Kluyveromyces lactis: one gene and its partner. The protein of the gene in region 2 purifies or fractionates together with the protein of the main gene of each other region. This does not show direct contact. Links are inferred from orthologs where the notes say so. Each region holds a gene or a part of one and is shown on either strand. Other genes may lie near its edges.

Region 1 (3,260 bases), about 760 kb from region 2:
TTAAATTTTTAGGAAATATGGCGTAGTTGTAACTTAGTATACAGAAAATACTATATTTGATTATTTTCGTTTCGGTTTATTAAAAGAGTTGCATCAGTTCTTAGTAGGTACCGAATTCGACTCAGCAGGGATGCCGTCATTAGTGGCATCCTCCTTTTGTTCTACTTCAACTTTCGAATGCTTTTCAAGAAGTTTCTTATTTTGAATTTTGTTCTCAATCAAGTTATCAAATGCAACTATGGCTCTGACCAGATTACTTATGTAAATGATCATTAGTTCGTCATTGGTTTTAACTGTGAGGGCTTTTTCCAAATTGTTGGTAACATTGTCTAAGACATGACTTGAGCCGATCATTTCATCTTTATCTGGGGTTCCGAGGTTTGGAAGAAGATTGAAAATGTCTTGCAATTTTCCTAAAATTATGTGGTTCACAGGTAACTCGTTGTTTGCCACTTTTTCCAAGTATGCTACTATGTCTTTCAATTTTCTTTGCAAGCCCCTAAGAGAATTTAATTGATTAGTTAGCTTTATAGATAAACCAGCTGCAGCTTGATCACGGACATCTTTGAGTAGATGTTCAACACCAATTTCTTCCGCCTCGTCTGCTTCCACAGTGCTTGGGATATGTATAAAGGTCCGCTCAGTCGAAGTACCATCATCCTTGATCTGTTCCACAGCCACATATGCGTTCGTTGGTAGTCCGATATCCTCTTGTTTCACATCGAGTATCAACAACACGGGATTATTGTTGGTACTGTACTTCTTGAACAACTCGTTAATCTTTAAATCAGAAGCCCTTAATTTCCCACCACTGTGATACCAACCAATTAGCTTCTCTTTCGCATTGATCTTTTTACACATCTCGTTCATGGTCTCGATGTAGTTGTGATCTAGGAACCAAACGTCTGGATTCTTCTCGTCTTCTTCGAACGGCAACGCAAACGAATTAGTTATCCTCACGGTTGCCGTGGAACTATCACCTAGAATGACACCTAAACATCTCTTGTTCTCCGGAGTATTTGTACGCTGATGATGGTCTAATACGGAAAGTAACACCAATGGTGCAACTGAAACTTGTTCGTAAGGTACAGACATTATCAATTGGTTGTTGCCAAGCTGTTTCCAATTTATAGTTTGATTTCTATTCTCTTAGCTTATCAGAAATGCAGATTGACTAAGCACTTTTTTTGACTCTCTTTTATAAGTAAACCCCAAAACGCTAGATTGGTCACGGTAATTCAATTAGTACAATCTCAAAGTATTATCACAGTTTCGCTTTCAGGAGTGTATAGATCTTCAAGTGCCCCATTATTTCAGGTATTTTTGTCAAATTAATATTTGCCACTAATGTTCTTAATGCTATTTCATTTTTTTTATTTTCAAATCTCGAAATATTAGGAACTGCGAAGCGAACATAATTCAATGCTTAATATTAAAAAGATTCTGTGCAATGAGATGAGATGAAAGGACATGTTTATACGGTTAGGGAGGAGACAAGACGGCTTACGGTTTGTACGAAGACCTTGGGTATACTCTAGAAAATAAATATAAAGATGCCATTTGGCCAAATTGTGATTGGACCTCCAGGGTCTGGTAAATCAACGTACTGTCATGGTTGTTCCCAGTTTTTCAATGCAATCGGAAGACATGTTCAAGTGATAAATATGGATCCAGCCAACCATCGGCTCCCGTATCCGTGTTCGGTCGATATTAGAGACTATATCACGCTAGAAGAGATTATGTCAGAACAGCATTTGGGTCCGAATGGTGGGTTAATGTATGCGATAGAGTCTTTAAATGAGTCGATCGATTTGTTCATATTGCAGATCAAATCGTTAGTACAAGAGGAGAAAGCATACCTAGTCTTTGACTGTCCCGGGCAAGTCGAATTATTCACACACAATTCGGCGTTGTTCAAGATTTTCAAACGACTAGAGAAGGATTTGGATATCAGGCTATGTGTTGTGAATTTGATCGATTGTATTTACATTACTTCTCCCTCGCAGTACGTTTCGATCCTTCTACTTGCACTAAGATCGATGCTAATGATGGATCTTCCACACATCAATGTCTTCTCAAAGATCGATATGCTAAAGGGATACGGAGAGTTGCCTTTCAGATTGGATTACTTCACGGAGGTCCAAGAATTGGAATATCTAAATCCACTTATTGAGAAGGAAGGGTCGGGTGTATTAGGGAGAAAATACTCAAGGCTCACTGAAACCATCGGTGAAATGGTCTCTGATTTCAATTTAGTTTCTTTCGAGGTCCTTGCCATTGATGACAAACAATCGATGATCAATTTACAAAGTGTTATAGATAAAGCGAACGGATACATATTTGGTTCGAGCGAAATAGGAGGAGATACAGTATGGGCAGAAGCTAGTAGACAAGGCGCAGCCATGGTCAACTACGACGTTCATGATAGATGGATCGAAAATAAAGAGACGTATGATAAACTAGAAAAGGAAGCACGTGACCAGCAGCTCAAAGAAAGGGAAATGCAAGCAAAAGAGATCGACGTCAACGAAGACGACGAATGGGAATCGGCGCTCAGGGAATGGGAAGAAAAACAAGGCACCAACTATGTTAGGTAACTGATGCATATCCTGCTTCCGTTACCACACCCGAACCATCCACCTTTCTTTTGCGTGAACTTTTCTGTTTTTTTTGCTGGGTTTACTACTCTATAGTAGGGGATCTTTAGAAATCTTATTTTTTCAAGATTTTGTAGACAAGGTAGCACATTAAAAGAGATGCAGTATTTACTTGCTGGGTCAAAAATGTGTCTCGAATCTTTGATGCGATGAGATGGAAGAGACTAAGTAGCGGAAAGAGAGCTAGGTGATGCATGCAGTTGGTGTAGTGATTTAAAGCGGGGAGTGTTATTCCTGCATGGATACTGATCTATTTTTTTTTTCCTGCGCTGGGCTGTTGTTTTGGCCTAAGGGACATGTTTCCCAGAATGAGTAAAGGATGGGTATGATCCTTATTTCTCAGATGAGAAGGTTAGGTGTGCTATTAGTGAGAGTATGTATATATAGAGGTAAAGAATTCTTCTTACCTATTAGCCTTTCTTTTCCCCTTATACTCTCTATTGTTTAACATTAGTCTGTGTATCAACCACCTTCATTCAGCTGAAATTATAATAACAATAGTTAAAGGTTATTTACTCAAAGGCGTACTTGCAGGCTTCAAAAAAAAACTTTTCATAATCAGTGCCATGGTTCGCCGGTTCAGTGGGCAACGAATCGTTTCAG
Region 2 (3,536 bases):
TAAAAGAGCGCTGGCAAATAACGAAATAACCGTATGATCTAATTCAACTTCCCGAATAGTTTCAAAATTGACTTACTAATGATTAACTGCCCATCTGCTTTACTTCGAAATTAAATGACAGGTTTATTTACATGTAGCTAAGAGGATTCCAGAATGTCAACAATTAAAAAATGCACTATTCTCAATTTCCAGTCGAACTCTGAAAATGTCAAAAAAAAAAACATAAAAAGGCCAAACTCATCGAATAGTAGATTTGCATGCGATATCCACTTGCATTCTAATCGTTTCACTTTTAAGAGAACAACCAATGCACAACTTAAGTTGATGGTATGGTGATTATCTGTTGTGAAACAGGTTTTTGCGTACAATTAGATGTACCATCGATGTGTCTATGTGCTGAGATCAATCAGTGAGGATTTGGTACAGTTGCTACAGGTTTTTGAGAACATCAGATTGAACATTTTATTTGCAAAATCTGAACCAGATACCCCAGAGACCTGTAATCTGTACACGTATAAATACATGCAGCGCTATCTCGATTGTAATTCTTTCCAAGCTCACTATAGAGTTTTTCTATCAGTCATGAACAAGGATAGAAAAACTCAATCGAGATACTTTTGTTTTGAAAGGAGTTGCATCGTGTTCAATACTACCAAAGTATCTTTCGATGAATCGATTTGTTTTAAATGGATTTACGGATATTTACGAATATTTCATTCCTTACTTACAGCTCTAAGATCGCCGCCTCCTTGCTTCCATAGCCAGAGTGCGTCTATAGCATAATTTCTCACACTGATGTTTGCGGTTTTAGATTCGTCTGCCGCTAACTGCAATGTTTCTATAACTTTACAGTCCTTCATCACATCCCAAAACATGTAGTAGATTTTGTTTATTATTTGCTTGGATCCCCCTTCTTCTTGATACGTTTCAGCATCGACTTCAGGTACAAGTTGAGCGTATGACTGCTTACCGAGTTTATATAGAATTCTTCCGAGAGTTTGAATGGCAATCGACCTTTGTGCAGGGAATTTAGAAAGAGATAAATGAGCAAGTTCTGGGATGGTATAACCTGCGAGCTCTGGAGCGTCCGAATGGTGATGTAAACCATTGTTCGTAGTGGTCAGTTTCCTCCCAGGGGGTACCATATTACCTTTGAAGTCAAATCGACAAACAGAAACGTCATGAATGACTTCTTCTGCCTTGCCTGTGTTTTCTACTTGTTGCATCCATTTTAATTTATCTGGTTCTTGCGGTAGGTCGGGGAAAAACTTCTTGTGTAACTCCTGATCGAAGTTAGGGTCATTTATATCCAAAGGCTCATATTCTTGTTCCTTCCCCATGGTTTTTCTTGCCTTTATAAAATGTACCTCCGCTAGTAAGTCTTTATTACTCATATGATCTATACTTTGAACAAACTGGTACTCTTGGGGTGCCATATCATCTTCGTCGTTGAAAGTTCCATTAGGTACTTCATCGGTTCGATCATACTCGTCAGGTTTGATATTGTGAACTTCCTCTTTCTTCAGATCTCGCTCAAATCTCACAGATTTCAGAGGCTGAACCTCAACAGAATTTATGCCTAAAGCCTCATCCACAGCCTTATCGTCTAATTTGGGTAAGTCTTTAACCTTGTTGCTTCCACCAATCCACGTACCTGGACCTTCGATTTCAGCATACTGCGGAACAGGTGGTTTAGACCTCGATGTTTCACCATCCTTTAACGACAAGGACGTCATTTTTTTGTCAACCCGAGCAATCAACGATTTCAACACATTCGGGTTCAAAGAATCCATTAACTCTTGTCTTTCACGTTCGAATTGCTCAGGTGTCATACTCTGTAACACAGCCAAGTTTTGAAGATGTATTCTTTCTGCTTCAGACAAGGCATTAGGGTCTGTTTTAGTATCATCCGAGAAACACGAGTCATTTCCAACCTCAACAAAGTTAGCATTTGGAGGTTCTGATCCAGTGTTACTTCTCTGCTGTTTCTTCTTCTTCTTTTCCATTAAGCGTTGCTTCCAACTAGATACTTTCTCTGGCTGATGTAACTTGGGGAAGCCAGTAGTAGGCATACCTTGGTTGGAAACGGCATCTGGAGCAACGGTTTCTCTCTCGACAATATCACCAAACAAATCCATGTCCTGCGGTTTGGTTGATTTGCAAGTGCTAAAGATGCTGTGCTACCTAATAGAATAGATATGCTTTATCATCTCATCGCATCACATCTGTTCATCCAAAGACTTTCATGTGAAGCCTAAAATAATAAATAAACCCACACACCACATATTTAAATCAAGAGGCCACTTTAATACCCACATAGGAAGGGATTAATCAGTAATAGAACACGTACATTAAATATAGGAAAGATTATATGAAGCTAATGTATGAAATATGAACAGGATTCATTGTTTTTAAACCAGCAAACCCTCCTGGACTCTGTTATTCCAAGTTTTATTATATCAACCATGATGATTAGTATGATTCACAATTATTTTGAGTGGCTTATGACATAGAGCCGTATCCCTGGCCGCGGCTCAATACATCACCTTCACTTTCGTATGGGTGCTTTGAAATAACCCATAGGGCATGAATCAAACCTGGGAAGAATCCTAGAAGGAACAATAGCACATTAAGCAGAAAATCTTTGGTGAAGAAGCCTCTCTTTATCCAAACTGCTACAGGAGGTAGAAAGATCGCAATGAACACTAGAAACCAGTCACGTGCGTGCATATTTAAATGGTTTTTAATTATGGACTTGGATTCTCAACAATTGACCATGTACCCCAATGTAAATTATCTGCTCTGTCATAGAACAAGGCCCCGACAGTACCTGGAATCGCAGCGTTAAAATCCAGTTCTCTTATATAGTTGCGTTGATTTTACAAGCTGCAATATACCAATAGCAAATCCCCTGAAATTGCACTACGTAGTTTTTGCCGTGATGATGCTTCGCCAGCAGTCTTTAGGCCCATGGACTTAAATTGCATCTGAGGTTCAGAGCAAAAAAGAGATTATCAAAAGGATAAGAAAAAGGAAATGGCAAAAGCGGGTAACAAATAAAGAAGAATCACTCAATCACGTGATAACGATTTTATTTACCCGGTGGTTGTGTTTCCCGGGTAATAATATTTACATATGGCCAAAATACATTGGTTGCCTCAAGCAGGTTTTGAGGACAATGACCCCACCTCAATACAGCATGATATTGTGATTGAGAAAAAAGCTTGGTAAAGTTAAGCACCTCATGCTATGGTTCTTCTGAAGCTCCAATTGTGTGACTTGGAAAAAGGGCCGAAAGTTCTAGACACTCAGATTATCTAGAACGTTCTACGAAAAAAAAGGAAAAAGAAAAAAAGATCTCTTGATATATCATGTTGCTAATAATAGATTTATCAGTGCCCATGGTAGTCTAAAACAGAAATCTAGATCTAGATCTAGATCTGGTGTTACTTTACTGCAAATAGCAAGAAAAGCGAGATTTAATCTCTCAGGTCATGACTGCATTGCTTTTTACCACTCCACTGTACTTCAGTGAG

Evidence for each region.
Region 1: the proteins of RBA50 (region 2) and GPN2 purify together in Saccharomyces cerevisiae (affinity purification with mass spectrometry; 3 studies listed by BioGRID, with this or other methods). This does not show direct contact. The link is inferred for Kluyveromyces lactis from reciprocal best matches to the Saccharomyces cerevisiae genes RBA50 and GPN2.

Annotation. Positions count from the first base shown.
Region 1 is NC_006039.1:825,944-829,203, reverse strand, and holds GPN2 (GTPase GPN2), read left to right. Parts: upstream 1-1,553; coding exon 1,554-2,597; downstream 2,598-3,260. Other genes in the region: proteasome regulatory particle lid subunit RPN8, read right to left, coding at 94-1,095; DSE3 (Dse3p), read left to right, coding at 3,224-3,260. UniProt on the Saccharomyces cerevisiae protein: Small GTPase required for proper localization of RNA polymerase II and III (RNAPII and RNAPIII). May act at an RNAP assembly step prior to nuclear import. Required for establishment of sister chromatid cohesion.
Region 2 is NC_006039.1:66,623-70,158, forward strand, and holds RBA50 (Rba50p), read right to left. Parts: upstream 2,139-3,536; coding exon 714-2,138; downstream 1-713. Other genes in the region: SNA2 (Sna2p), read right to left, coding at 2,503-2,730. UniProt on the Saccharomyces cerevisiae protein: Forms an interface between the RNA polymerase II enzyme and chaperone/scaffolding proteins, suggesting that it is required to connect RNA polymerase II to regulators of protein complex formation.